Linked DNA regions of Elephas maximus indicus. The protein of the gene in region 3 purifies or fractionates together with the protein of the main gene of each other region. This does not show direct contact. Links are inferred from orthologs where the notes say so. Each region holds a gene or a part of one and is shown on either strand. Other genes may lie near its edges. The genes, in order: CLSTN1, KIF5C, KLC1 and KIF5A.

Region 1 (7,485 bases), on a different chromosome or scaffold from region 3:
GTGGTATTTCTGTTACAGCAGCACTAGATAACTAAGACAGCTGGGCTGATAGGATACACCTGTATACAAAACAGACCAAAACCCTTCCACCTTGAGAGGTCTGTTCTAGTAAGGGGAGACAAAACGTAAGTAACAAAGCATGTGGGAAAAAGAAAAACTGGAGCAGGGAAGGGCAGGTTCCTATTTCCTGTACTTGAACTTCTATTTCCTGATCATTAACTCAATGAAGAAAAAGCAGGCAGCCTAAAGAGAAGGCCATCAGGGACGAACACATGCCAAGCCTCTCTCTCCAAACAGTTTGCTTTACTTGACCTTTGTTTTTTGAGAACTACTACTACTATTACAGCCCTGGTGACACAGTAGTTAAAGCACTAGCTGCTAACCAAAAGGTCAGTGGTTCAAACCCACCAGCAGCTCCTTGGGAGAAAGATGTGCATGCAATCTGCTTCCGTAAAGATTTACAGCCTTGGAAACCCTACGGGGCAGTTCTCCTCGGTCCTATAGGGTCCTATAGGGTCGCCATGAGTTGGACGCAACTCGACAGCAGCGGGTTTTTTGGTTTTGGTACTATCAGAACTACTAAAGGGAAATTTGGGGTTCTCCATAAAACAACTACTTAAGAGCCAAAATACAATTTATGTCGCAAAGTCTATCATTCTCTCCAGCAGTTTGTATGTGATTTTTATCCCATTAATAATTATAAGAGGTAACTGGAGTATGAAGAGCAGTTCATAATGGCATACTTCTTTGCAGCAATAAAAAAAATTCAAATATTAGTTGAAACAATCATCACTTAAAATGAGCCCATACAAAATATCTCCACAAATGGTATTATTTAAATAAAAAATTCATTTTTTATTCAAAATGTTATCACTTTATTAGCATCTCATGTAATATTAGTGAGACATATTCTAATTTGCAAGCTGAAAAACAAATGCAACAGAATAAGTGATGTTTAAAATGTGTTTTTATTTTGAAGTCTAAGAATCCTGAAGTACTATAACTGCACCAAGAAAAGCTTAGAGAAAGTTAGGAAATTACGAAGGACTCAATACTCAAACGCATCTTTCACGTAAGATTTCTCAGTTCAGCATAATGAAAGTATTTATAGTTGAAATTCATGCTATTTAAGTGCACAAAGTAATTCAATAATGAATAGCAAATGTGACTGAATGGACAAACTTAAGAAAACAAGGATTTTAACATGAAATGTTATCATCGACTAAACTAAATATACTTGAACTGTTTCCAAAATACAAAACCAAGCACATACTAAAAGATGGGTGGGTTTTCCCCAAGACAAGCAAAACTTTGACACATACTGTGGGTTTTTGTTTTTTGGTGTGTTTTTTTTTTTTTTGGCTATACAGACTTTCAGATCTCCATCTCACATCTGAGAGAACATTTCTAATTTAGCTTGATGTAACTTTTAAAAAGCAAATTGTAAATTGAGCACAATTAGATACTTAGTGAATGAGATCTGAATCCCACACAGTCAACAGGATTTTACAAAGATATGAATGAAGTTTCAAAGCTTATCATCCTCCATGTTAAGAAAAGAATATGGAACAAAAGGTGCATTTTGCCTCTTCTGCCCTTTAATTTGTGGACACCATACTTGGCTCAACAATGTCGTGCCAAAGAGGAGAAAAGAGAATTTTAAATTGCTAAATTGAAATGCTGACGGGCTCATCGAGACTTCTGTCAAAACTCCCCCCCACACACACACACTTCATTAAAAAAAAAAAATCATAAGACTAGATTCAAATACTCTATAGACTACACCTAGATTACTTTGCTCCTAAGGCCAAGGAAAATGTTTACGATTCCAAGATCCATTCAGAAGCCTGTATCTGCAATGCGTAAGCTTGTGGTTGGCAAGATCAATCAATATCAGAAATCATGTAACGTTTAAACGGTCAAGTCGTGAAGGTAAAATAAGTAATCAATTCACCAAGGAATCTTTTTTGCCATGTAACTACAAAATAATGTCGGTCCTACAACCCTAAGAAATCACCGCGGGGATTCGTTTCTCGTTTCTGTTGAGGCCAGCTAAGCTCCTGCACGATCTAATTACCGTCAGAAAAACTGCACCAAGGCGTCGAGGGCGGGGGAGACGGAGATTTCCAACACACACAATTTGACCTCAGGGTGCAAGGAGGGGCGAGGGGAGCAAGAAGTTGCCGCCACTGTTCGTTTGGAAACAGACGTTTAAAGGCCCCTGGGGGGAGATGGCCAGGGGAAACGGTGCAGTGTCCGCCGCGCAGCAGCCGGGACTCGGGGTCTTGGGAAAGGATGCGGAGGAGTGGGTTCTTATGTAAGCACACACAAAAACTGTGCGTGCCCCCACCGCCCCGCTGCACCTCTCAGCACACAACGCACGTACCGAGCATCGCACCCCGGGGTGCATCTCCGAGTTCGTGCGCTGCAGAGGACCCCTCGGCCCGTCCGCACGCCCCCACGATCCCGCACGGCCACCTCCCGGGGCCGCAAAAGGGGCGGCCCAAGCCTTGGTGCGCCGCCCGGGACCGAACCCGGCTTTCCCGAGGCGGTGCAGCGCGCGCCCGCGGCCTCCTGCGCCCCGACCGGGACCCCCGCGCCCTGACCGGGACCCCCGCGCCCCGACCAGAGACCCCGCGCCCCGACCCGACAGCTTACCTCGTGAGGCCCAGACCCCGCCTCCGCACAGCAGCCCGGCCAGCAGCAGCCAGGCAGCCGGGGCCCGCGCGGGCGAGGAGCGGCGCAGCATCGCTCGGGCTCCCTGCGCCTCGGCCGGCCCGAGGCGGGAGCGGCAGAGACGCACGCGGGGCGCAGAGCGGGGCTATCGCGCCCCGAGGCCGGCTGCTTGGCGCTGCGGCGAGCACCGGGGTCCGAGGAGGAGCCGCCGCCGCCGTGACGCTGGGCCGCGCGCTCCGGCCGCGGGCGCCCTCCCTCCTCCGCCGCGCAGGCAGCGCTTCGCTGGAGGCAGCGGCAGCAACTAAGATGGCGGCGCCGCTCTCTCTCGGGTCCGGCGAGGGTACCCGGCCGGGGGCGGGGTGCGGCGGGAGGGGCGGGGAGCGAGAGACGCGCGGCGGGCCCGGGAGCGCGCGGGAGGCGGCGCGAGGCGCGGGCGGGGCGCAGGGGCGCGGGCGCGGCGGGGACGGGCGCGTGCGCTCGGTGGGCCCGGGAGCGCGCGGAGGGCGGTGCGAGGCGCGTGGGGGGCGCGGGCGCGCGACAGGCCGGGGAACTCGCGCCTCCGAACCGGCTGGCAGAACCAGGAGAGCGCGCGCGCCCGCGGGGGATGCGCCGGAGGTTGGCTCCCCGCGATCTGTGTACGCCCTGACCCCGCGCAGCCGGAGTGCACCACTCCTCGTCCCCAGGCGCGTTCCCAGGCTCCAGAGGCCAAGCGAGTGGCACCTTGGAGCCCAAGTTTCGCTTCTCTCATGTGAAGGACTTCTTCCCCAGCCCCACCCCAGGGCAGCGCTATGCAGCCCAGGGCCCTTGAGCGCCAGCACCCTGTCTGACTTCCAGCAAGTCCTTGCCTCCCAGATTCTCGGTGTCCTCTTGTGCCTAGTGGAGGTGATAAGAGGTAACACTCGGGGTGGTGCAAGATGTTCAAGGGGAAGAGGGCAGCGTGACAGGCTAAACAGTTAAGGGCTGCGCAGCACGTGCCGCGGTGGTACCAGCCCGGGAGGGGGTTGCGTGTTCCCAGGCGTCCGTCCTCAATTTGCAACTCGAAGATTTCTCCATTTGCTTAAGAAATCCGATTCTGGCTTTTTAAAGGTACTGTCTTTCTAACCAATCTTAAGTGTGATGCTCACGGCCCTTAGAAATGAGGAGATCCAACTAGATGAAGGAGGGCCCTTCTGATGGATCCCTGCAGAAATATGGGGTCCTCTCCTTTTCTTCCGTTCTGGGGCACCCCCTTCTCTCAGCTGGTGATCTCGAACCCTGGCAGGGGCCACAGCCCCACACTAGAGGAAAGGACTGGCTAACAGATAAACTCTGTGTGCCGGGCACTGTGCCACATGAGACCATGTTATTGGCTCCATTTTGCAGATGAAGAAACTAAGTCAGAGAGACATATGACTTCCCCAATTGAGACGACTACTGTAAAAAGAAGAATCAGCCGTGGAGGACATCTCATTAGGGAGATGAGACACCTACAGCAAAAAGTTAAATAACAATAAAATGTTAATTATGCCACTGTGCTGGAAAATATCAAAGGTGACTCACTGCCAAGTGCCAAGGGCTACGTTTGCAGTAAGAGCTCAGCTGGCTGGTGGGCTCTCGGGAGAGCTTGGGGGTGGGGGTCAGTGGAGAGGAGTGGGCAGCCTTGGAGGCTGTGAGGAGAATGAGTCACTCCTTTGGTAGGGGAGAGGACTTATTTAGAAGAGTAGTGGGCAAGGATCCCAAAAAGGTAGATTGAGGCCAGATTGTGAGGTTCCTTAAATGATAGGATGAGGTATTTGGACTTGAGCTGGCAAGCAATAGGAAGTAGTTATGTGATGTGACCCAAGGGGAGTTTCAAAGCAGTCGTATAATTGACTATGCCCCTCTCTGTCCTTTGTCCCCCAAGATAACCTCTGTCCTTCAACTCTCCATGCTGGCCGGACACTAGAATGTCCTTGGTTGGACTTCACCTGAGGTCCCTGCCATCTCTAGACTGTGTCCCACCACTCCTTCCAGCCAAGGATGTGGGAGTCACCCTCCCTGAGTGTTGCTACTGTCCCTCCCTGACACATAAACCATTGGCTGCTGGCAGCCTCTCTCTGGTTCAGACAGCTCCGCAGAGCTCCCAAGCTGTCAGCCCCGGGCCCCACCCAGGTAACCTCAGGACCTAAGGTTTCACCTCCATCTTAGCTCTAGTTCTCCTACCCAGGGCCAGCATCATAGCACATCCACCCTCACCCCTCCTCTGAGCCTTAAGTCCTTAAGGCTCATCCCTGGGCTACCTCCTTCAGAAAGTCCTGACTAGCAGGCCCTCCTGCACTGATACCCACCAACTCTTATACCTCACAGCGCAGGCTTTCTAATCTGCTGCCTTGTGCTAACTATTCCACGTGTGCACCTTTTTCTCCCCACTGTGTTCTAGTGGAAAGGACCATCAGACAGGACTAAACTAGAATTACGGCTCCCAATACTACAAATGACCTTGGACAAGTTATGGAACTTTCTGAATTTCTTCATCTGTGAAATGGGATACTGACACCTACTTCCTAGACTAGTGATAATTACATGAGGCATTAAAGTGCCTCACAGAGCCTGGTATACTGTAGGTGCCGAATATATGGTGGTTTCTCTTTTTCTCTCAGGGCTAGTAGCCTTCTGAGCTTCTGCTATACTGGTGAATACATAGTGTAGTTGTTAGGTGACTCGAGTTGATTCTGACTCAAAGCAACCCCATGTGACAAAGTAAAACTACCCCATGGGAGCGGATTGCCAGGTCTTTATCTCACAGAGCCACTGGGTGGGTACGAATCCCCAACCTTTTGGTTAGCAGCCAAATGCATTTATTGAACACCTACTACGTACTCAGTAAATGTTCGGTGATGAACTAAATGAACTGCTATGTTAGTTAGTCTCTTATAGAGATCATACCTAGATGGAAAAACAGTGTTCCCTGTAGGTTTTCATGGACCTTCTAGATTTACAAAACATAAAATCAGGAAGGTATAATCTCAGAACTGTATTTTGAGTCCAGAGAGAAAATTGAAATATATTCGGTTCTATTAAAAGCACAAATAAAACCTTGGTGTCTGAAATCTGAATCCCCTTATCTCCTCAGCCTGGCTGTCCCTTAAGGAAACAAAGAGATCAAAAAGGTTCAGCTGCAGGTGGGGCAGACAGCTGGCTGGCGCGCTCCATGCAACCTGCACACGCTGTGATTTTGCCCCCTTGAGAGTTCGCCCAGCTGCAGAGCTCAGCTGCAGCATCCTGGAAGCGAGGGAAGCTGGGGAACTGAGGATGCCATCCTCCTGACAACAGCCTCGGCCATATTGGCACTTTTCAAAGGTCTGTATGTGACGCAGTAGTTAATCCTCAAGATGGCCCTGAGGTGGGGATCGATCTGGACTTCATGCCGTGGTTAGCTTCTTCAAGGAGCTGAACTAGGCGCTGAGGAGTGTCAGCTCACTTAGGAGAACACAGACACGGGACAGGAGGTGGCTTTGTCCATTGGGCAAGGAAGATGGAATTTTTGAACACATATCAACCGAGCTGAGGCAGTAGGTGGGAAGGACACAAGGAGATTTTTCAGAACGCTGCACCTTTTGAGGGTGGGTCTTATAACAGCAACCTCTGTAGTGTGCTAAATAGGAGTGCCTAGGTGGCGCAGTGGTTAAAGAGCTCAGCTGCTAACCACAAGGTAAGCAGTTTGAACCCAATAGCTGCTCTGCAGGAAAAAGATGTAACAGGCTGCTTCTGTAAAGATTTCAGCCTTGGAAGCCCCGTGGACCAGTTCTAGGTCACAATGAGTCAGAATCGACTCGACAGCAATGGGTTTGGGGTTTTGTTTTCTTTTGTTTGGGTGGCACAAATTGTTAAGTGTTCTACTACTAGCCAAAATGTTGGCAGTTCGAACCTATCCAGAGGTGCCTCAGAAGACAGGCCTGGCAATCTGCTTCTGAGAAGTCACAGCCTTAAAAACTCCATGGAGCAGTTCTACCCTGTGCACATGGGGTCACCATGAGTCAGAATCAACTCGATGGCAACTAACAACAACAGCTGTGTTAAATACATGATCTATCATTTATGCCTCCAGCAGCCGGAACTTCTTATAGTCCCTGTTTTACAGATGAGAGCGATGATTTTTTTTTTTTTTTTGCTTTTGTACTTTTTTCTGGTAGTTAAAAAATACATGTAACAAAACCGCTGCCAATTGAGCAGTTTTTACACGCACAGTTCAGTGACATTGATTACATTCATCATGTGGCGCAACCGTCACCGCTATCCTTTTCCAAAGGATTCCAGCACGATTGGCAGAAACTCAGTGCCCCCTAAGCAATGGCTCTCCTTTCCCCCTCCCTTGCACTCCTGGTAACCGCTAATAAACTGTGGTCTCCATGCATTTGCCTGTTCCTATAAGCGAGAACAATGTAAATTTTGCTCAAGAGATCATTGCTAGAAAGAAGGAAACCTGAAATGCAATGTCATGTCCATGGGAGCTCCAAATATGCCTTTGCCTTGTGTGTGAAAGTACCCCCCAGACATCAAAAAGGCCCCACACGGGATCCAATGCTTTGGAGCCAGCCTGCCCCACCAATGTCAGGAGATGGGGTTTCAAGCCCCGGCTTGCCGTTCTGTGGCTGTACCAGGTCATGGGAGACTGTTCTCACCCAGCTTCGAGTTCCTCCTCTGGGACACGATTTCCCAGTTCCAGAGTTGCCGAGGATGAAATGAGATTGCGTGCTGAAAAGCTCTTTGCCAACCATGTGGAGCCGCTCTCAGGTGGGCGTGTTATTACCGTTTTGCACAGTGTGCACTAAGTGCTCATGGAACTGAGCC
Region 2 (7,978 bases), on a different chromosome or scaffold from region 3:
GTCTTTCTTCCTAGCCTGTCTTAGTTGGCAATCTTCACTGAAACCCATCCACCAAGGGTGACCCTGCTGATATTTGACATGCCTGTGGCATAGCTTGCAGAATCACAGCAACACACAAGACACCATAGCACAACGAATTGGCAGATACGTGGTGGAAATTTTCCAGCAGTCAATTAAAAAAAAGTAAGACCCCCCCCCAAAAAAAGGTGATGTTAATTTTACTTAACCTTTTAGCATATCTTATATACTCAATATATCCAAAGTATTTTCATTTCAACATGTAATCAGTATAAAAGAATTATTAACGACATATCTTTTTTTTTTAATACTAAGCCTTCAAAATTCTGTTTGTATTTTACACTCAGCACATCTGGTTTTGAACAATAAATTTTCATCAGAAATAATCTGTATTTAGATTTCATAAAATTACAGTTGAAAAAAGTAGATTCACATACCCAAGCCATTCCAAGTGAACATAAAAGTTTTCAAATAATTTTGAAATGTAGTTAAATATTAATTAACAGTGACTTGATCATGTAGTCAATGATCCAGGTCAAATTAAATTTAACTAATTAAGATCGATTGCCCCATGCATCTGTCAGTTTGTTGTACTGTGGGGGTTTGTGTGTTGCTGTGATTCTGGAAGCAATGCCACCAATACTCAAATACCAGTAGGGTCACCCATGGCAAACATGTTTCAGCTGAGCTTCCAGACTAAGACACACTAGGAAGAAGGACCTGGCGGTCTAATTCTGAAAAGAATTAGCCAGTGAAAACCTTGTGGAACATCGTCTGATGTAGTGCCGGAAGATGAGCCCCTCAGTTTGGAAGGCACTCAAAATACAACTGGGGAAGAGATGCCTCCTCAAAATAGAGTTGACCTTAACGATGTGGATGGAGTCAAGCTTTTGGATCCTGCTAATGTAGCACGACTCAAAATGAGAAGAAACAGCTGCAAACATCCATTAATAATCGGACCCTGGAATGTACAAAGTATGAATCTAGGAAAATTGGAAATCTTGAAAAATGAAATGGAACACATAAACATTAATATCCTAGGCATTAGTGAGCTGAAATGGACTGGTATTGGTCATTTTGAATCAGACAATCATTTGGTCTACTATGCCGGGAACAGCAAGTTGAAAAGGAATGGCATTTCATTCATTGTCAAAAAGAACATTTCAAGATCTATCCTGAAGTACAATGCCGTCAGTGATAGGATAATATCCATATGCCTACAAGGAAGACCAGTTAATATGAATATTATTCAAATTTATGCACCAGCCACTAATGCCAAAGATGAAGAAATTAAAGATTTTTACCAGCTTCTGCAGTCTGAAATTGATCAAATGTGCAATCAAGATGCATTGATAATTACTGTGAAAGTTGGAAGCTAAGAAGGATTGGTAGCTGGAAAATATGGCCTTGGTGACAGAAACAATGCCAGAGATTGCATGATAGAATTTCGCAAGACCAACAACTTCTTCACTGCAAATACCTTTTTTCACCAACATAAATGGCATCTATAGACTTCACCAGGTAGAATACACAGGAATCAAATTGACTACATCTGTGGAAAGAGATGATGGGAAAGCTCAATATCATCAGTGAGAACAAGGCTGGGGGGGATTGTGGATCAGACCATCAATTACTCATATGCAAGTTCAAGTTGAAACTGGAGAATATTAGAACAAATGGACGAGAGGCAAAGTACAACCTTGAATATATACCACCTGAATTGAGACCACCTCAAGAGTAGATTTAACGCATTGAACACTAATGACCAAAGACCAGACGAGTTGTGGAATGACATTAAGGACATTTTGCATGAAGAAAGCAAGAGGTCATTAAAGAGACAGGAGAGAAAGAAAAGACCAAAATGGATGGCAAAAGAGACTCTGAAACTTGCTCTTGAACATCAAGTAGCTAAAGCAAAAGGAAAAAATGAGGTCAAAGAGCTGAACAGAAGAGTTCAAAGGGCAGCTTGAGAAGACAAAGTATTATGATGACATTAGCAAGGACCTGGAGATAAAAAACCAAAAGGGAAGCACATGCTCAGCATTTCTCAAGCTGAAAGAACTAAAGAAAAAATTCAAGCCTCGAGTTGCAATACTGAAGGATTCTAAGGGGAAAATATTAAGTGACACAGGAAGCATCAAAAGAAGATGGAAGAAATACACAAAGTCACTATACCAAAAAGAATTGGCCGATGTTCAACCATTTCAGGAGGTAACATATGATCAGGAACTGATGGTATTGAAGGAAGAAGTCCAAGCTGCACTGAAGGCATTGGTGAAAAACAAGGCTCCAGGAATTGACAGAGTACCAGTTGAGATGATTGAACAAACGGCTGCAACACTCGAAGTGCTCACTTGTCTATGCCAAGAAATTTGGAAGACAACTACCTGGCCAACTGACTGGAAGAGATCCATATTTATGCCTATTCCCAAAAAAGATGATCCAACCGGATGCAGAAATTATCAAACCGTATCATCAATATCACATGCAAGCAAAATTTTGCTGAAGATCATTCAAAAGTGGCTGCAGCAGTATATCAACAGGGAACTGCCAGAAATTCAGGCCTGGTTCCGTTGAGGATGTGGAACCAGGGATATTATTGCTGATGTCGGATGGATCCTGGCTGAAAGCAGGGAATACCAGACAGATGTTCACCTGTGTTTTATTGATTATGCAAAGGCATTTGACTCTGTGGATCATAACAAATTATGGATAACACTCAGGATAATGGGAATTCCAGAACACTTAATTGTGCTCATGAGGAATCTGTCCATGGATCAAGAAGCAGTCGTTTAAACAGAACAGGGGGATACTACACAGTTTAAGTCAGGAAAGGTGTGCGTCAGGGTTGTATCCTTTCACCATACCTATTCAATCTGTATGCTGAGCAAATTATCTGAGAAGCTGGACTATATGAAGAAGAATGGGGCATCATGATTGGAGGAAGACTCATTAAAAACCTGCATTCTGCAGATGACACAACCTTGCTTGTTGAAAGTGAAGAGACCTGAAGCACTTACCAATGAAGATCAAAAATCTCAGCCTTCACTATGGATTACACCTCAACATAAAGAAAACAAAAATCCTCAAAATTGGACCAATAAGCGACATCATGATGAACAGAGAAAAGATTGAGGTTGTCAAGGATTTCATTTTACTTGGATCCACAATCAACACCCATGGAAGCAGCAGTCAAGAAATTAAAAGACACATTGGGCGAATCTGCTGCAAAAGACCTCTTTAAAGTATTGAAAAGTAAAGATGAGGATTAAGGTTTGGCTGTTCCAGGCCATGGTATTTTCAATCATATCATATGCATGTGAAAGCTGGACAATGAATAAGGAAGACCCTAGAAGAACTGACACCTCTGAATTGTGGTGTTGACCAAGAAAATTGAATATGCCACGGACTGCCAAAAGAATTAACAAATCTGTTTTGGAAGAAGTACAACCAGAATGCTCCTTAGAGGCAAGGATGGCAAGACTACATCTTACACACTCTGGACATGTTGTCAGGAAGGATCAGTCCCCGGAGAAGGACATCATGCTTGGTAAAGTAGAGGGTCAGTGAAAAAGAAGAAGGCCCTCAACGAGATGGATTGACACAGTGGCTGCAATAACGGGCTCAAACATAGTGACAATTGTGAGGATAGTGCAGGACTAGGCAGTGTTTCGTTCTGCTGTGCATAGGGTTGCTACGAGTCTTGACAGCACCTAACAACAACAAGATTGATTAAATTTTAATTAACCAAATTAAATAAAATTAAAATTCACTCCGTCAGTCCCACTAGCCACATTTCAAGTGCTCCGTCGCCACCTTGGCTGGTGGCTACTCTATGGGACAGCACATATCTGCAGAGTCTAAGCACAGCACAACCAAACATAGAAATCTACATGATTGATTTGCTGTGTGTCCAAGGATGGTTCCAGGTTAGGCCAGTGATAAAAATTCCTATCTTGACCTTCAAGGTTTTTTTTATGGTTGGACCCCAAATTGCCTTTTGAACTAATCTCTCACCTGTTCCATTCTGGCCCCATAGGTCTCCTTACCATCTATGGCCGTGCCAAACAGTCTGAGCTCCATACCTTGGCTTTTGTTGTCCTCCTGGCTAAATATCCTACTTTAGTTGGAAAAGGCAGTAGTAGAATTCTCACCTTTCGTGCTGGAGGCCTGGGTTCAATTCTTAGCCATGTGCCTCATGTGCAGCTGTCACCCATTGTCAGTGGAGGCTTGTGTGTTTTTATGGTGCTAAACAGATTTCAGGGTAGCTTCCAAACTTGAATGGACTAGGAAGAAAGGTCTGTTTAGCTAGTTCTGAAAATCAGTCAATAAAAACTCCATGGACCAGAACATTCTGATTCTCAATCCATCATGGGGATGGCACAGTGTTTATTTATGCATGAGGCCGCCATAAATTGGGGGCACACTGATGGCAGCTAACAACAACAACCACTCCTAGTCTTCAGGAGTCCAGGTACCCTCTTAAATAGCATGCAAAATCTTGAGGGTATGTAAGAGGTTTTTTTTTTTTTGCAATGGAGAAGGTCCCTAACCTTCATCGAGTATTAAAGGAGTCAAAACGTCTTATGAACTGCTGTCTATGTACAGGCATTTCCAGGAATAATTGGCTTCAAACATCCACGGCAAATCTCATTTCCCCCTGCTTTCCTCACAATTCTTAGAACACCGGGAATATAGGATATAACCTCCCACTCTGTCCTTGGCTTGGACAGCTAGACCGGACCTACAGGTCCTTGGAGGTCACACCTGGGCACCACTACTATCCCGGAAAGCCAATTCCAGGCATCCTTGACCTTTCACGTGCACGTGGAGCGACTACAAGTCCCGGGATGCGCCGCGCCAGGCTCCGAGCCGGGGCGAGGGCGGGCGGATCTCCGCAGTGACGTCACGGTCCGGGGCGGGCCCGGAGGGGTGGGCGGGGCGGAGGGCGGGACCGGGAGGCTGCGGAGCGCCCGGTGCTGATGCAGGATGGCTGAGCGCGCAGGAGCCCGGGAGGTCTGAGCCGGGAGAGGCTCGCTCCCTGCGCGTCGCCTCGTCCGCCCGCCTCGTGTTCGCGGGCAGGTGGGGCCGGGGTGCAGGGCAGGGGCAGGGCGGCGCCGGGGGCTGGTAGGTTGCCTCCCTTCCCGGGCTCGGAGCGGCCAGAGCTCCCCAGCAGCCCGAGTTCACGATGACCTGCTGAGAAGCGGCGTCGGAGGCTGCAGGAGGCAGCCTCGCTGCGGGAGGTGCGGTTCGCGGCCTCCTCCCTTGTCGTGCGGAGCCCCGGCCCCCAACCCATCCCCGCGCCCCCTCCCCGCAGCCGGTCGAGATGGCGGATCCAGCCGAATGCAGCATCAAAGTGATGTGCCGGTTTCGGCCCCTCAACGAGGCGGAGATCCTCCGTGGGGACAAATTCATCCCCAAATTTAAAGGCGATGAAACCGTGGTGATTGGGGTAAGTGGCCGAGGGGCCTGGCCTCCCCTTCAGTTTCGCGCCGCAGCCCGACTCCCCGACACCCCAGACGAAGCGGAGATGCTCGGGTCGCCCCTTCGGACATCCCCGAGGGGCAGACCCCGCACCCCGGGTGGACTGAGGAGTGACCCCCCCCACCCCACCCATAATTCCCTCCAGGTTGGGTGGAGGGAAGCTGGGGGTGGCGGGGCGGGCCCCGGTGGCGGGGGTGGGGGTGGGAGGCGAGGAAGGGCTCGGAGCCGCCATTGTTCGCGGGGTGGGGGCCCGAGTGGGCCTATTGTTCCCTGTCCTGGCCACGCCGCGTGGGTAGTGTTGGGTACCCTCAAGCCCGGGTGCCGGGGCTTCTCTTAAAGTATGAGCTATGTAGCCCACAAATGCTTCCAGGAATCAGTTCGATTTATCGAACACTTTGACGACTCCTCTCACGATCTTAGCGAAAAATGAAGAAAAAAAAAAAAGGTATTGGAAATATCCTGGCCTCGACTCGGAGCTCCCGCGGCGGCATAGACGCGGCTCCCTGCGGCGTTTCGTCTTGCCCCGCGAGGAAGCCTGGGGTGGGGGAAGGGGACGCTGGTGGCCTTGGTGTATCCTGGAGGTCTGGTGTGTCTCGTTCCGCTTCCCCTCAACCCAGGCTTCCTTGGACGTGGAGCCTGGGTTTGACCCCCTCCCTGCTTGGGCTACCCCCCACCTTGTGTTGGCGGATCATGGGATGTGCTTCCTACGGGGTGGAGGGAAGGCTGTGTCCCTATCTGTGGAGCGAAGGGACCCAGAGCGCACCAGATAGCCCATCTGTGCCAAGAGCAGAAGTTACTTTGTGTGGTTAGAGGCCCCCTCCCTCTTAACCTCTTTTCCCACCTTTCTCACCGACTTAGCGCTCTTCTGCTGCCGGAGCTGCTGGTGGGGGGAGGGGATACCACTGGGTTTTAGTTCTTTAAGGAATATTTCAGCCCTACCCTCCTCCTTTTCCCCCACCGCGGTCCCTAGCGTGCGGCTGACGGTGCCCCCTTTGTATGCCAGTGGCGTGGGGAGGGACTGAGTTAATGGGAGCCTCCTGGTCCCCGCTGACATGTTCTTGGCAGCCCGCTCGAGGCTGCTCTTGCAGCCTTGCCGTCCCCAGCATTGATTAAATGATGTCATCCCGATCACTGAGCATGCTCCGACTAACCCCCTCCCTCCCACCCCCCCCCCAGTGGTTAGTGTATTTAGGTCAAATGATTGACAGGTGACAATTTACCGAGGGGCTTGCTGAAGCTGTCTGAGTCTGTCTGCACACTGGAAGTCCCCAGCATCTTCGCCAAGGTTGTTTTGCCGCAGTCCCTGCGAAGGGCCCCGGGGACCAGCAGGTGCTAGCTGTAACTGTAGGGTGGTGGCTCTTCGCGCCTGTGGAACCGAAACGGCTTCATTCTACACCTTCTTTACCAAGGCAGCTCTTGATGACTCCTCCACTCCCCATTTTCACAGTTACCAGAAAACCATGACTTCCAAATGCTACGCAGATGGGTATTCTTTCTGAGAGTTGACCTATGAGGGTGGGAAAGAGGGTTTCCTCCTTGCTTGTGTTTACTTGCAGAGATTTATGCTACAATTACTGATGAGGAGGGAAATTCTGCAGTTAATGGCGGGTCAGGGTTAGTGACATATCCATGGCCAGAAACTGGGGGCAGATAGTGGCTTGTTTGGGTTAAAGTTAGAAGTCTGGGTCTGCCTACGGTCTGATCTGCTATTTCCTGAGCCAGGCTGTGATTTAGAGTGGGAGTTACTCTGGACATCTAGTCCCTGCCTCTTGGCTGGTAAGAAATTTTTAACAGATAATTGTGTAGCACTGGAACATGTCCTGGTGACCCTAATTTTTTTTCCAGCGATTTTAAAGAAGAGCCTGGAGAAGTTTTCTTTTTCTTCTTCTCCTCTTCTTCTGATAAAGTGAGGTGGATTAATAAATTATCTTTTTGATCTGTGTGCAAAGCAGAGATCTTTAATTTTAGGCTTATCCTTCTTAAATATTGTGATGATAACATAAGTGTCTATAATGTAAGTGGAAACCCTGGTGGCATAGTAGTTAAGTGCTGTGGCTGCTAACCAAAGGGTCGGCAGTTCGAATCCGCCAGGCACCCTTTGGAAACTCTATGGGGCGGTTCTGTTCTGTCCTAGAGGGTTGCTATGAGTTGGAATTGACTTTGATGGCAGCGGGCTTAGTTTTTGGTTTATAATATAAGTATATTATTTTCCCATCTATATATATGAAAAAAAAACTTTTTTGTTTTTTTTTATATATGTGGGTCGCTATGAGTCGGAATCGAGTCGACGGCACTGGGTTTATATATATGTTATTAACTAAGTATATTGAAGGAAAGTCACCATATAAACTAACAGGTAATTTAAACAAAAACCTTTGGGTGTGAATATACTTGTTTTTAACTGGAAAGTGATTTTTGCTTATCCTACTATAAGCCTTTAATACAACAGCCAGTTTTCAGCTCTTTTTTTTTAAAA
Region 3 (8,113 bases):
AACCTGGCAGACTCAAACTGCTGACCTCTTGGTTAGCAGCCGTAGCACTTAACCACTACGCCACCAGGGTTTCCACAGATTGACTAGGTATACTGAAAGAATACAACTCTGACACACACCTTTTCTGACTTTAAACTACACAGTACCCTCTTATTCTTTTCTAACAGCTGCCTCATGGTCTAGGTACAGGTTCTTCATGAGCACAATTAAGTGCTCTGGAATTCCCACTTTTCACAATGTTATCCATAATTTGTTATGATCCACCCAGTCTAATGCCTTTGGATATTCAGTAAAACATGGGTAAACATCTTTCTGGTATTCTCTGCTTTCAGCGAGAATCCATCTGACATCAGCAATGACATACCTTGTTCCATTTCCTCTTCTGAATCCCACTTGAATTTCTGGCAGTTCCCTGTCCATACACTGCTACAAATGCTTTTCAATTATCTTCAGTGTAATTTGCATGTGATATTATTTATTAATGATATTGTTTGATAATTTTCGCATTCTGCTGGATCACCCTTCCTCGGAATAGGCACAAATGTGGATCTCTTTCAGTCGCTTGGCCAGGTAGCTGTCTTCCAAATTTCTTGGCATAGATGAACAAGCACTTCCAGTGTTGCATCTGTTTGTTGCAACATCTCAGTTGGTATTCCGTCAATTTCTGGAGGCTTGTTTTTTGCCAATGCCTTCAGTGCAACTTGGATGTCTTCCTTCAGGACCATCGGTTCTTCATCATATGCTACCGCCTAAAATTCATTTTGGTATAGTGACTGTGTATCCTTCCATCTTTTGATGTTTCCTGCCTCATTTCATTTTTTGCCCATAGACTCCTTCAATGTTGCAACTGGAGGCTTGAGTTTTCAGTTCTTTCAGCTTGAGAAATGCCATGCATGTTCCTTCTTTTTGGTTGTCTAACTCCAGGTCTTTGCACGTCATTATAATACTTTGTTTTCTTGAGGTGCCCTTTGAAATTATCTGTTCAGCTCTTTTACTTCATCGTTTCTACTTTTCAGTTTAGATACTCTACATTCAAGAACAAGTTTCAGAGTCTTTTCTGACATCCATTTTGATATCTTTTTTTCCTGTCTTTTTAATAACCTTTTGCTTTTTTCACGTATGATGTCCTTGATGTCATTCCCCCATTCGTCTTGTCTTTGGTCATTAGTGTTCAATGTGTCAAATCTATTCTTGATGTGGTCTCTAAATTCAGGTGGGATATACTCAAGGTTGTACTTTGCCTTTCATGGACTTGTTCTAATTTTCTTCAGCTTCACTTGAACTTGCATATGAGGAACTGCTGGTCTGTTTTGAAGTCGGTCCCTGACCTTGTTCTGATTGATGATATTAAACTTCTCCATCATCTCTTTCCACAGATGTAATTGATTTGATTTCCTGTGTGTTCCATCTGCCGAGGTCCATGTATATAGTTGTTGTTCATGTTGTTGAAAAAAAGCATTTCTAATGAATAAGTTGTTGGTCTTGCAAAATTCTATCATGTGACCTACCTCTACCTCCATCATAGTGTTTATCAACTATATATAAATTATTTCAGTAGCATCAATGTCCCGTTTCTGTCTTCTGACATTACCCTTTTTAGATAACTGCAGACAACCAGTCAAGTCTCCACTTTTCCCAGCATTTCCTGTGATTGCTCAGAAGGGAGAGAAATAGGACACATATTCTCCTGGTCACTTAGAATATTATTGTCCCCAGCACCTGGCACACGTTCAGAGACACATCTGGGGCTCGATGAATGTGTGTGGAATGTCCAAATGCACACACAGGCAGACTCACCTTCCTATGGCACAGATTTGACCCTGTTGTTGGCCTCCCTGCCCCTTCAAACTTCTCACAGGTCCCTCTGTCAGCTGTGGCTGGGCCATCCAACATGACTTCACTCCCAAGTCTGGGGGCCCCAAAGGGACAGCCTGATGCTGGCCTTAGTTGTCTTCGTGGGTTTGACCTTTCCTGCAGGGCAGCAGTCTTCTCACTTGGCCGTTCAGGGCTCCCAAAAGCACAAGCATGAAGCTGCCTGGCCGCCTTCAAGCACAGCCTGAGACTACCACAGCGTCCCTTCATCCACATTCAGGAAACAGGCTGGTCCAGAGCCCAGGGGCGGGGGGTGGTGGCGTGCTGCGTGGCCAGATGGGAGTAGGGGGTGGTTGGTTCACTGGGGCCACCTGTGAGACTAGCACCACAACTTCCCCACTCTGAGGCTGAGAGACTGGCAAGCTAAGCTGGGGCCCCGTGCTGGGTATCCTTTCTTTCCTGGGTTCACCAAGAGGGACTCAAGCCTTAGTTCCCCGGTATTCTCAGAGAAGTGTGGGTGAGTGACAGAGGGGGTGGACTTCACCTTACCGCTACCCCACACGCGCACTCCACCTCTCCCTGATCCAAAGGGGTGGCGATGGTGCGAAGTTTCCCCTTGTTCAGAGGAGACCGACAGTCCTGGAGCTTTCTGCCTGGCGGCTGAGATCTTTAAAGGAAAAACACTCTAAAAACCTGATAAATTCCATTTTTGGACAATGAAGGCAGAGACCAGAAATGGCATGACAGAGCAAGGCAGGACTGTGCCCAAATTAGCACTGGCCTCTGAGGCCATATGCCCACTGCCCTCCCCACCCAGGCTGGGGGTGCCAGGGACTCACTCCCCCTTCACCCTGCCCACAGACCAGGCCGGGCCTAGTCCAGCAGCCCACATGAGGGTGACTTTTAAAAGCCCAGCCTGCCTGCCTCCTGCCCCATCTCCCTCCCTCCCCGGTGGACCTTTCCTCCTCTGTCCCTTTCCCCTCCAGGTACTCATGGACTCCAGCTGCTCGCTGACCTGCAAGCCTCTAGGCATTAAAAGCCAATCCCGCCTTCCCCCAAACCCACAGACATTTACGGTGAGATGATGAATGCCGAAAACAACAGTAATTTCCCATTTTCCTTCCCGAAGCTCCTCCATGGGGGCCTTGTCCCCTGGCCTTCACCTGCGTTGCTCTTCCCGCCTGCCAGGTGAGTGCCCTCATCTGTGAGTCCCCTGGATCCTTGAGGGATGAGGGGTGTACCCCCAGCACCTCTCTGGGCCTCCTCGCTGAGCTCCCCGCAGGGCTGTCAGCTCCCCGGTGCAGGGTGCAGAGCCATCTCATTGGGCAGTAGCTGGGCCTGGGGATAATGAGGACACAGCCGCTCCTGCGCCCATGCTCAGGGTCTGAGGGGAGAGGTCAGCTAACCATGCAGAGTTGAAAAGGCACTGGTGGAGGCACAGGAGGCTTGACTCAGACTAAGCTGGCTGAGAAGGCTTCTAGGAGGGAGTGGCTCTTGGCTGATCCTGAGGGAGTGCACCAGGACAGGGAAAAACAGAACTTCCTAGGCAGGATGGACACTACGTACAGGGGCACGGCCATGAGAAAAAGCAGGGTGGGCGCAGGGCTGGGCAAGGGTGTCTGGGGCCCAGCACAGAGGGAGTTGGAGCACCAGCTCCTGAGGGCCTTGTGAGCCAAGCGAAGCAGTTAAAACCTGACTCTGAGAGCCAGAGGCACATCGCAGCATTCCAAGGAGAGAAACACCCCAGCTCCTTCCTGCCTGCAGACTTCAGTCTGGTGCCCCTGGGCTTTTCACGTGGCTCCTTCCCTCTGCTCCCTTCCCCTGCCTCGCCCCACCACTTTGGCTCTGCCCATTGCTTCATCTGACTTTAATTCTCTGCATAGCCAGCTCCATCCAATATCTCTTTGCTTACATGCTTTGATCTGCTTCTCTTCAGTAGGAAGTAAACTCCTCGAGAGCAGGGGTCTTATATATCTGTTCACCAACACATCCTTGGCCCTTATTTGCGGGAATCTCAGGAGCTCGGCAAATACTTGTAGAAGGGATAAAGAATGAGGTAATAAACCTGCACAGGTGGGGGCAGTGGGGATGCACTAAAAATATGTTGTTGTTGTTGGCTGTCCTCGAGTTGAGCCCCTGACTCATGGTGATCTCATGTCCTGTGGAACAAAATGCCACCTGGTCCTGTGCCATCCCCGTGGCGATGGGTTGCTGTGATCCATAGGGTTTTCACTGGTTGGTTTTTTCAAGCAGATCACCAGGTCTTTCTTCCTAGTCCATCTTAGTCTGGATGCTCCGTAAAAACCTGTTCAGCTTCACAGCAACATGCAACCCTCCACCGACAGACAAGCGGTGGCTGTTCGTGAGGTGCACTGGCTGGGAACTGAACCTGGGTCTCCCGCATGGGAGAAAAGAATTCTACCACTGACCACCAGTGACCTAAGGAGATCTTAAGGAGGTAGAATCTTGGCTACCCGTGGGAAGTGGGGTACAGGGGAGAGGGCATCAGGGCTCCGGGTTTCTTGCCTGGGCGATGGGTGACTGGAGGTGCCACTTCCCATACCTGGCCTGGTCCTCCCTCCTCCACAGCACTTGGCAGTGAGTCAGGAGACACCTGTGCGTACCCTTCCAAACAGCTGCTGTGCCCAGCCTAACCGTGGTTGAGGAGCAGCACTGGAAGGTGGGTGATAGCTAGGCTGGGGTTTGGCCAGAATCACTAACAGCGTATGTGCGTTTCACTCTGCTTCATGGCCTCTGCCTTGGGCCCTGTAATTGCTGCGTCACCCTAGGAGCGCCCCCTTTGCACTCATAAATCAGATCGAAGTAGCTGGATCTGCTTGTGACAATCTGGGAGCGCTTACTTGCCTGGTGACTGCACAATTGCAGGTCAAAACAAGGCTGCCTGTCGATGCTGGGTGATACCATCTGAAAAAGACAGCGGTTCACAAGGGCAGGGGCTGGCAGGGGAACCACCTGGCCCTTGGGACATTTGCAGGTCCCCAGAAGGAGGGATCTCCCAAGCTGGCAGCAGGCAGAGGGCTGAGCTGGGCCCCCTGCATCTGCGGCGGCCGCCTGGGTGGCTGCTGAGTCAGCCTGCGGCACTGGCGATGCGGCAGGACAGGACCCAGGCGCTCTCTGACCTGGAAGTACTGCCCTTCAGGCGGGCTGGAGGTCGAGGCGCTGCAGCAAGCGGTGTGGTCTGCAGGACGGCCGGGAGGCTGCCAGGGTGCGACAGCCGAGGTGGGCATCTCGTCTCTGGCCAGGCACGGCTGGTCCAGCATCCCGTCCCTTCCCCCAGCCTCAAGTGCAGTTTGTGTGAGAGCCTGCGGCCGAGGGGCGCGCCTGGAAAGTCCCCTTGAGCTGCATTCCTGAGGCTCCCGGGGCTGGGGGAGAGGGCATGAGATGGGGAGGGCGTGGCGGTGAGTCTTGACCCACGACTCTAAGTTTTCCTGGAGAACGGAGACAGGCCCCCTGGCCGGGAGACCTCGAGCTCGCCACCGGCTGGGCAGGTCGGCAGCATCGTGACCTTTGGGGGGGCAGACGGGAGCCCTCCCTGCAGGCCCTGGGCGGACGTAGGGGGCGCGTCAGCCTCACACCAGGCACAGGAGCGTGGGTCTGGCGCCCGACACGCCCGGGGTGGGCCGGGGCCGCGGCCGGGACGTGGGTGGACGAGGCGCGCACCTCCTCCGACCACATTCCGGGCGGGTACCGGCTGGGAGGGGCGGCGGCCGAAGCGCCGGGTCACCCCACGGCCGCGTCCCAGCAGCCCAGCCGGGCCGCACCTCTCCCTGCCCCAGAGCCCGGCGCCCACCCCGGCGACGCCCCCGGATCTCGGCCGCCGAGCGTGGGCAGCGCAGCCCCCGGGAGCCGCGTGGGCGCCGCGGCCCGAGTCCCCCGCCGAGCGCTGGCCCCGCCCCCGGCGCGCGGGGGCGGGTGACGTCATCCTGGGCGCGGCGGCGCGCGGCATTGTGGGGCGGGGCCGGCCGCGCCGGGAGGGAGGAGACGCCATTTTCGGCGGCGGAAGCGGATCCGGCAGCGCGGAGCGGAGCTGAGGGCTGCGCTCGGCGCCGGGAGACACGGGGCGCGAGCCAGTGGGGATGCTGCGGGGCGGCGGCAGCGGCGTCGGCGTCCCTCGCTCGTGACTGCGGCGCTGTGCCTGGAGCGGCCGAGGCAGCGTCTCCTCAGAGCGTCGCCCCTCCGCGCGCAGCCCCGCCGCGTCCTGCCCGCGCGTGGCGAGCGCGGCCCCCGCAGGAGCAGGACGGTGAGTGCGGCGGCGCGGCGACGGCCGGGCGGTCCCGGCCCGATTCCGAGCGCGTCTCGGCCCCGCCGCGGCCCCGCGCCGGTCCCCTCTCCCGCCCCCGTGACTGCCGCGGGCGCTGCGTCCTCATCCCGGTCTCCATCCCGGTGTCCGCCTGCATCCCGGCCGCCCGCGTCCCGGCGCCGTTCTCCCGCGGGCAGGGGCGGCGGTTCCCGGGGACGGGGCGGCGGTTCCCGGGGACGCGGCGGCGGGGCTCGCTTTGTCCGGTCCTCCCTCTTCCTTCCGGCCGCCGCCCTCTCCGCGGCGCCGCCCTGGGCCGACGCGCCGGTGCCCCTCGCGGGCGATGGGAGCCGCCCCGGCTGCAGACCCCCTGTCTGGCCGGCGCCCCCGTCTTCTCACGGGCAGGTGGGCGAGGTTCCCGTCCGCGGCCTTAGCGCACGCTGGCGCTGCTGCGACCCAGCTGGCCGCGGCCTCCGTCCGGAGTACGTTCTCGGTTGCAAAATTTGTGCACGTTATTCTTTAAATGAAAATAAAGATTAAAAAAGTAAAATTGACGCGTGGTGGATTGCATGGCTTTTTAGCTAAAGATTTGTAGGTCCTGTAGGTCGTTCCCGGATGTATATATATGGATGTTTTTGTTGAAATTTGTTGCTGTCTGTTTTTTCTCATTGAAAGAATATGCTCAAAATTTACGTAGTAAGCATGTCATAAGGAGGACTTGGAAAAATGAGTTTTTATAGAGCGGGAAAACAGCAAAAATTTAAGATGTGTATACCATTTAAAGTGCAATGTAGATCAGTTAGAGCTTTGATGGCTTGCACAGTTAAATTCCAAGGTCTTTTTTTTTTTGGTACAGCATGACTAAGCCCTTGGTCAGAATCTGTAGCTTGGAATACATTGTAATGATCCAGTGAAAAGCCTCTTAGGAGATTGGAACGACCTCCTAAAAGCTAATAATTATAGAATTTACCTCTTTCGGGGATTGGTAACAAGCCACAGTTAGAGTGGAAATTTGACCCATTGTTCTGTTTCATAAGTGTTTGTAAGAATACCATGGTACTAAATATTACAATTTTCAGATGGTGTGGAATTATGGGAGGGTAGGCGGTCTGAGCTGTTTCTCCACGTCACCGAAGAATGCAACATCATGTTGCAGTTGGCGCTGGGTGATGGAGCGCCAGGCATGGGGACCCTCCCTGGGCCCTGCTGTGTACTTTTCTCCGCAGGTGTGAAGAAATGCATGGGGCTCGCACAGTGATTCTCTCCAGCCAGCGGGAGGGAGGGAATGAATGGCCCTGGGGAGGGTACCGGGTCCCGTGTTTCATAGATTCCTAAGCATGTTTCACAGTGTTGCAGAAAAAATAAAGTCAGTGTGTAGATTTCCCCATAGGGCTTTTATAAACTAGCTTAAAACATCATGTAATTATGTAAAAAGAAAATTAGAAACTGGAAAGGCAAAAGAGTAAATGTAGGATTGGTTTAACCTGGAAGTATTTTTGGTAGCCTTGTCACCGTTTAAGTGGAATATGAGAACCAGTATCCGATGTAGTTAAGACTTGATCACTAAAATCCTAAATAAGAACAGGCAGAAAACTTCAGGTGCCAAATTGCAGAGGGTAGAATGAAAATGATTAGCAAATTAAGATTGTGAAAGGGTGGTCTTAAATGTCTATTGAGAACGAGTTAAATGCCAGGCACTGTGCTAAGGGTTTGGGGATGTAAAAATAGAAGACAGTTACTGTCCTGCCGAGTGGATTCTAACGCGGTGGTTTTATAGGACAGAGTAGAAGCGCCCCAGAGGGTTTCCGAGGCTGTAATCTTTCCAGAAGATTGGCACATCTTTCTTCCATGGAGCGCTGGCTGCTGGGTTTGAACCGCTGACCTTTTGGTTAGCGGTGGAGCACTTAAACGCTGCACTACCAGGGCTACTTGTACGTAGACAGGCACCACCGCCTACGCTGAAGCATTTGACCACTAGCCAGTAGGTTGGTGGTTTGAACCCACCCAGAGGTGCCTTGGAAGATAGGCCTGGTGGTCTGCTGC
Region 4 (7,100 bases), on a different chromosome or scaffold from region 3:
GCCACCAAAGACCAAGGCAGAGAAAGATAGATATATAAATGCATCCAGTGACAGAATCACGCTGAGATTCTGAGTGACATAAAGAGCAAAACAAGATGCACACCACATAGACAGTAACCCAGATATCCTTCTACTACGACTCAGGCCATTAACTTTTGACAAGCCCCAGATTTCTGGGAGAAGTCAGGGAGGGAGGGAGTGACAAGGTTCACAGAGCTGTCTCTTCAGCTTATTCTCCTACTCTTTATTCTCCTACTCATTGCCAAGCAGAACAAAGCTCAGGAACATAAGAGATGCTAAAGGCCAGAGCTAGCCGCAGTGCCGCAGAGGCAAAGAAAAAGCAGCTACAGGAAGGAGCAGGGGCTGGGTTTGTAAGGATTATCCTCTCCCACTTTCACTCTTCCCTTACCTTCCCATTAATTCCTCAGACAGTTTCCCCACACACTGGCCCCCAAGCGGAAACTAGAGGAGAAAAGAGGAAAGGGAAAGGTGGTAGATTTCCTTCCCCTGTTGCGATCTTCAAGGGTCTCCTCAAAATCACTTCTCCTATAGCCCTCATTCTCCTGAATGAGGAAGGAATAGTAAGGTTGAGAATGCAAGCTCCCAGGATGCTGCGTGGGACAAAATGGCCCCTCAGAAGCATTTACCTTGGAGTGAGGGATTGACAGGAAGGGCTGGGGTGAGGGAAGATACAAAGCAAAACAAAGGTACAGCCTGTCGAACATCAGACAAAATAGACAAGGAAGTACCAGCTGTAGAGCTGAAAGAGAATCTGAATTGGCAGGCCCCCCACCTCTCTTCAATCTCTCTTCACTTCCCATCACCCATTGTGTCTCTCCTATTTAGCTAGGCTACTTGGACAGATCAGCACCATATTTCTTTCTCCCAGCATCACCCCCTGCCCCATGCCCAGCACACCAGGATGTTCTAGAGCACCTAAAGGAGTTAGTTCAGACTTACCTGAAATGCATTCTGGAGCAACAACGCTGGGTTTAAAAGTGGAAGCCTTTTTTGTGGATTTGCTCCCCCATACCACCCCTCTTCTGTTTTTCAGCCTTCGTGTGGGGGAGACTCAAGTTTCAACTCTCATCGTTAGTATTTGCTGTCCAGGCTGACCAGACTGCAAAGCCCCCAGACTACAGGGTCTGAGATCCCAAGCCAAAGAGAGACAGAAGCACTCCCCATGTGGCAAGTACACACAAACACACACACACACACAAGGCTAAAACATCCATCTGAGTTCACAGGGTGAGTGAGGGGACAGGGTGGTGGCATAGTCCCCTTTGGGGATCCTTGGGGATGGGTAAGCAGACCTCTCCCTGAGACATGTTTACTCAAAATCTCATTCTCACTGACTCATAGAGCCCAGGTTCCCTCCTCTCCTTTCATTCCTTTAGCAAGCGTGTTTCCAGCTGCCTTGTGTCAAAGACTGTGGATCAAAGATACATAAGAAGTGCTCCTGACCTTGAGAAGCTCAGGGACTGCCCTCAAATTCGCCCCTCCCTTCTTAAGCAGGGCTACAGTTTCCTGGCCCAGTACCCCTCAAGCCCCACAGGACTCAATTCCCAGATCCTTTCACCCCATTCCACCAGCCTAGGCAAGGTGGAGTGGATGAGGCCTAGCAATTCCCTTTGAGTCATAACTGATAAAGGTCCAGAACAGAAATCTGGAGAGGCAGTGCGATGTAGAGGAAAAAGCATGAGCTTTGAACTCACAGATTTGCATTCAGCTCCATGAATTAACTGTGTGACCTTGAGAAAGTCATTTAACTTCTTTGGGCCTCAAGGTCCTTAACTGTAAAATGGAAATATTAATCCCTGCTTCAGAGTGTTGTTTTAAGAACTAAATAATATGGATAGAGTGACAAGAACACAATAAATATTATTTTCCTTCTTAACAAGACCTCCTCCATGGTTAAGGATTATCATGATGAGGTAGAGGTGGCTTGCTACCTTTTACTGGTTCATCAAGGGAAAGGATGAATAAGCAGGTACTTATTAGGATCTTGGGTTTGAGCATTTTTACTTATTGGAGGGGAAGTGTTGGGGGGTCTGAAATCTTCTTCCTATTGTACCTGGGAGGAAAAGGGAGACATTTCCTTAGGACCCCAGAGGCTTCCCCCAAGCTGGGCGTGGCATCCATGTATTCCTTTCCCAGAACACCCTTCAACAGACTTGTGCCCTTCCCCCAAGTCCAGGCCTTAACTAATTTAGGGGATGATGGAGGAATTTGGTCCCGGATTTGGTCCTGGACCCCACTTCCATTCACACCACCGCAGAGACCCTGGACTGCCCACCTCCCATCTAGCCCATCCACTAGCCTTCTCCTCCCTTGCTGGGAGGTGAGGGGCACAGATCTGAGCCAATAACAAAGAGAAGATGCACCTTCTCTGGGGAGAGAGGGAAAAGATCAGAAAAACACGGGACTGACTCTAAGGGGTGGCGAACCTGTAGAGAGTAGTAAAGGCGAGCTGGCTCCCCTAGTCCCGGAGAAGTAGCCCCCTCCCCCTCTGCAGAGTCTTGGCCGCTGGCCTGGCCAGGCCACACCCAGCCATCCTGATGCAGGGGAGAGAAGGAGGGACTGCGGCGCGGAGGATGGTTGGAGGATGAAGGATGGAGGATGGAGGATGAGTGGAGGGGAGGGGGCGCAGTGTGACAGGCAGGCGCTTAGGCTCTGCGGTATAAGATTCAGTCTCCCGCCCTCCCCCCCCAATCCCTTCCAGGGGCAGCACTCACCCCAATAACGACGCTGTCATCCCCTTGGAAAATGGGGATGAACTTGTCCCCCCGCAGAATCTCTGCCTGGTTGAGGGGCCGAAAGCGGCAGAGCACCTTGATGCTACATTCGTTGTTGGTCTCCGTCATGGTGGTCGCCGACGTGGGGCTGGGGCACTTCTGGGGCTGCAGGGGTGATGTGTGCTCCGGAGGAGGAGGGCGCTCAGCTGAGGCCGAGGCGGAGGAGAGGAGCTGGGTCTCTGTTGAGGGGCGCCGAGGCGAAGACTGGGAGCAGGACCTGTGCGCGCTTTCTCTCCTGCGGCACTGGGGTGCGGGCGGGGGACCTGGCGGCTGGTGCTCTCGCGGCGCTCTGCCTCTCCGCCCTTCCCGCTGCAGCGCAGCGCTGCGGGCTTGGGCGGGGCCGCGATGAGGAGCGGGGGGCGTGGCCTCCCTCGCCGGGAACCGCTCGCACGACAATGACCAGCGCAGGGTGTGACCTTTCCTCCCTACTCCCACCTGTCCCCTACTCACCCCTGAGGCTCGGAGATAACTTGCCTCACCCCTTCCCAATCCAGTTCATACACTGCGTCCCCCTCCCCCGACCTGTTTGTCCCTCCCTCCACCCCCTGGAAGGGAATAGAGGGTCGGAGGTGCGCTTGTCTTAACAAGAGGGTCAACAAGGTTTCCATCCCTTTTTTCCGGGGTATCCTCTACCCCCGTCACAGTCCTCTCTCTAAATTGGGAGCCCACTTCTCATTCCCCCGTCTCACCTCCCACGCACAGATGCCAAATTCCCAACCCACTCAACCTTCAAGGGCAGCTGCCTGTACCTGTATTGAGGGTGGGTCTCCAGGTCCCATTCTTGGGGAAGAGGTATCAGGGGCAAGTCTGGCTACCACCTTCCCCTTCTATATGCAAGGGTGCACCCTACTCTCTCCCCAACATACACACCAGGTCCCCAGTTTGAAAGAAGACAAACTCCCATTCTGGCCTATCAGAATTCAAAAGCAGATGAATTTCTCATTTTTGCCTACTAAATTGAGACTGGGATGGAGGTGGGCAGGAGTAACTTTTGCAAGAGAAAGGGAGTCAGAAGGCGGTGAAGGAGAGTGGTGATAGGAGTGGGCAAGGCTACAGGGGCCTCTGAGAGGATTCTTAGGGTGAACACCTGCATTTGGGTTTCAGCAGGTTTAAGCACCTATGTATGTTTCCTGTTCCAGTTACCACTGGACAGAATCCCAATATCCCAGCCCCTTTCTCAGGCCTTTCTTCTCTGCTTCTCCTCCCTTCCCTGGTACAAGTCAAGCCCAGAAAAGCCTTGTCCTTCTTTCTCCCAGGTCAACCTACAGCTGCAGCCCATGGGGCAGAACCACCAAGAAGCTGGTGAATTGATTTTTCTCCATGTCACAGGTTTTTGCTGGCCAACAGAGAGTTGGACTGCAGGAGTTGAAGCTCTGGGCCAAGGGGAGGGGCAGGGTGATGGGAGCAGGGAGGAGGGAATGGAGGTTCTACCCAGCAATTGTCTGTTAAGTGTCTAAGGTCACTTAGACACTAAGGGGCAAGGGTAAGAGGCTGATGGCCTGGCCAGAAAAGACCCAACCACTCAGAACTCATCTGAGGAGGGAGTTCCCATCAGACCTATATCTCTAACCCACCTGAATCTTAAGAGAACTGAGGGAAAACGATCCAGCTTAAGGAACTGGATGAGAAGGCAGTGGAACTATGGAGAAAGAGGGGTAGAGGCTTGGGGGAGGAGCCAGGAAAGTGTAGATAGAATGACAACGAGTTCTAAACTCAGGAAAATAGGTATCTCTCCAGTCACTTTGTCTGGCACTATTTCTAAGTGTTGCAGCATCCTGCAAGCTCGAGAAATATCCTGGGAAACATCCCAACCTTGAGGCCCCAGGAGCTTCAGGGAAACATACTTAGTAGTTTCAGAATGCCAGGCCATGAAGGGTCACTGGATAGCCCTCCCCTCCCCACCCCCCAAAAAGAACAATGTGATATATTACCATTTAGATCTGTGCTCTGCTAAAAAACCATCTGTACCAGCCCAAAAGGTCAACATTTAATCCAAAGTAAAGATGAGACGATAAGGGGGCAGGGAAACTAGAGTACTGGAAATGGAACAACCAGAGCACAAAGAGAATGTTGATACAATGTGAAAAATGTAACTGATGTCATTGATAGATTTGTGTGGAAATTGTCAAACAGGAACACTTTCACAAAAAAACACAATAAAATATTATTAAAGAAAAGAACAATGTGGTGAGTTTTTCACAAAGCTAGTTAAGTTTAAAAGAACTGTCTTTTATTCTGAGACTTCCTATTTTTCTGCTAAGTTGGTGATAGAGACAGTAGGTTTTCTTTTTTTAATGTATTTACTTGGAAAAATAAAAAGGTAGCAATTCGGTGTTTATCCTCAAAAAGATTTGCTGTTGTTGTTTCAATTTTATTGAACTGTGAAATTCAAAGGTCTTGAAACTATTAGTGAAGTGGTTAAGAGCACAGAGGGTGGTCTGACAGATATGGAAGTATCACTTTCCTATTATATAACTTTGAAATAGGATTGCCAAATTAAAAAAAAAAAAACTGGAAGCCCAGTTAAATTTGAATTTCAGATAATTAATAATTTTTTGTGTATGTCCCAAATATGGCATGCGCCCTTATACTAAAAACTATTAGTTGTTTTTCTGAAATTCAAAGTTAACTAGGCGTCCTGTATTTTATGACACCCCTAACTTGAGAAGATAAGATTTCCATACCTAATACGCACTAAAAAAAAAAAAAGTGGACGTCGAATCATCTCTGACTCATAGAGACTCTGTAGGACAGAGTAGAACTGCCCCATGGGGTTTCCAAGGAGCGGCTGGTGGATTCGAACTGCTGATATTTTGGTTAGAAGCCATAGCACTTAACGACTACATCACCAAAGCTCTTAATATGCTCTAAGCGTTTACTAAATTTTACTTGTTTTTCAAGCCCTGGCTATGCCATAACAGGACGAGTTTTGTGATTTTATCTAGCCACTTAATTTCTGGAAGTTCCAATTTATTCATCTGAAAAAAAGGAAATATAAGATCTCTTTCACAGACTTGATGTAAAAAAGAAAGAAAATAAGTAGTGTAAAACAGCTCCTCAAGACGCGTTATTGTCGTTCCCTGCCCAAACCCCAGCCCGCCAAGACTACACATCCCACAATCCCAGGCGGCGTTTCCCCTCCATCCCTGCCATTACCTCATTCTCTGGCCTCGTTCTCGCCAATCCCTGCCTAGCCGGAGGTGTGGCATCAGGCTATTCTCGCGACTTTTGTTTTACCCTTCTGCTGTGCTACTCCTGTCGCGAGACCTCCGGCTCCTCCGCCTCCTGCGCCGCTCCCTTTGCCGCCGTCTTAGCCCGGGACCCGGACTCATCCTCTCCCCTACCTGAACACCGGCCCCGGCTCTACTGAGGCCCCGGTCCCCCCACCCCGCCTCGCCGCCGCCATGGCGGACCCTAAATACGCCGACCTTCCCGGCATTGTGAGTACAGGGCTGGCTACGGCTTCCCAGGACCGCGCCCCCGACCACCCTAGGACCCCCAACAGACACCAACCCGAACCCCTCCCGCCTGAAGCCCCTCCTCCGCCCCAAGGACGCGTTCCCCTCGCTCCGAGACCGGCCGCAGCACCTTCCGGACTCCTTCTATCCGACTGAGCTGGGCCGTCGGACGGCGCACCAGACCCCCTTCCCGGCAGGCGCCGGCTCCCCGGCCCCGAAGTCGTTGCTGGTCGTTACCACTTGTGCCCTAGTGTTACCACCAGTGTCAACACCTCCCGTGCTGTCCCAAATCTCCCTATAAACCCCCCACCTCTCACGCCACCCCAGAACACACACAACAGGATACTTGGTGATGGCCTTCACCCTGCCAAGGAAGAGATTAGGGTGGCAGAACTTTTCTTGTGTCAGAGGTGGAACTCTGTCCCCCGGGAATCTGCCCCTCCCTTCCCCCATGCACATGCCTGCGTGTTCCCTCTTTGTGCGGCTCTGTCTGTATTTTCCGGGTAGGGGTTGGATCACAGGACCTTGGTCCCGACTCATGCTTAACCCTTGTGCCGGGGTAGTGGTGCTCCGGGCCTAATTCAAGGATAGCCCTCACCTACTTGTGATATGATTGCCAAGGACGTGCTCCCCCAGCCTTCAGATTCAGAGTAATGAGTAACATCTTTGTCATCAGTACATACCATTTACAATCAGGTCCCAGTTGTCCCCTCTGTCATCCCCACCCCACTGAGTCATGGGGAACTGACATGCTGTTAGGGACAGGTGGAAGAGAAAGGACAGGATCCTGGCATCACAGCCTGCCTTTTCTGTTTGTTCAAGTGGAATGGAGGAAGGGGTGTTGGTG

What was found.
Region 1: the proteins of KLC1 (region 3) and CLSTN1 purify together in Homo sapiens (co-immunoprecipitation; 3 studies listed by BioGRID and IntAct, with this or other methods). This does not show direct contact. The link is inferred for Elephas maximus indicus from reciprocal best matches to the Homo sapiens genes KLC1 and CLSTN1.
Region 2: the proteins of KLC1 (region 3) and KIF5C purify together in Homo sapiens (co-immunoprecipitation; 4 studies listed by BioGRID and IntAct, counting the BioPlex papers as one, with this or other methods). This does not show direct contact. The link is inferred for Elephas maximus indicus from reciprocal best matches to the Homo sapiens genes KLC1 and KIF5C.
Region 4: the proteins of KLC1 (region 3) and KIF5A purify together in Homo sapiens (co-immunoprecipitation; 7 studies listed by BioGRID and IntAct, counting the BioPlex papers as one, with this or other methods). This does not show direct contact. The link is inferred for Elephas maximus indicus from reciprocal best matches to the Homo sapiens genes KLC1 and KIF5A.

What each region holds. Positions count from the first base shown.
Region 1 is NC_064821.1:49,323,652-49,331,136, forward strand, and holds the start of CLSTN1 (calsyntenin-1), read right to left. Parts: upstream 3,002-7,485; 5' UTR 2,750-3,001; coding exon 2,659-2,749; intron 1-2,658. UniProt on the Homo sapiens protein: Postsynaptic adhesion molecule that binds to presynaptic neurexins to mediate both excitatory and inhibitory synapse formation.
Region 2 is NC_064824.1:45,731,754-45,739,731, forward strand, and holds the start of KIF5C (kinesin heavy chain), read left to right. Parts: upstream 1-4,960; 5' UTR 4,961-5,344; coding exon 5,345-5,470; intron 5,471-7,978. UniProt on the Homo sapiens protein: Microtubule-associated force-producing protein that may play a role in organelle transport. Has ATPase activity. Involved in synaptic transmission. Mediates dendritic trafficking of mRNAs.
Region 3 is NC_064828.1:117,876,993-117,885,105, forward strand, and holds the start of KLC1 (kinesin light chain 1), read left to right. Parts: upstream 1-4,961; 5' UTR 4,962-5,052; intron 5,053-5,793; exon of another isoform or gene 5,794-6,073; intron 6,074-8,113. UniProt on the Homo sapiens protein: Kinesin is a microtubule-associated force-producing protein that may play a role in organelle transport. The light chain may function in coupling of cargo to the heavy chain or in the modulation of its ATPase activity.
Region 4 is NC_064822.1:117,451,680-117,458,779, reverse strand, and holds the start of KIF5A (kinesin heavy chain), read right to left. Parts: upstream 3,092-7,100; 5' UTR 2,865-3,091; coding exon 2,736-2,864; intron 1-2,735. Other genes in the region: DCTN2 (dynactin subunit 2), read left to right, coding at 6,200-6,235. UniProt on the Homo sapiens protein: Microtubule-dependent motor required for slow axonal transport of neurofilament proteins (NFH, NFM and NFL). Can induce formation of neurite-like membrane protrusions in non-neuronal cells in a ZFYVE27-dependent manner.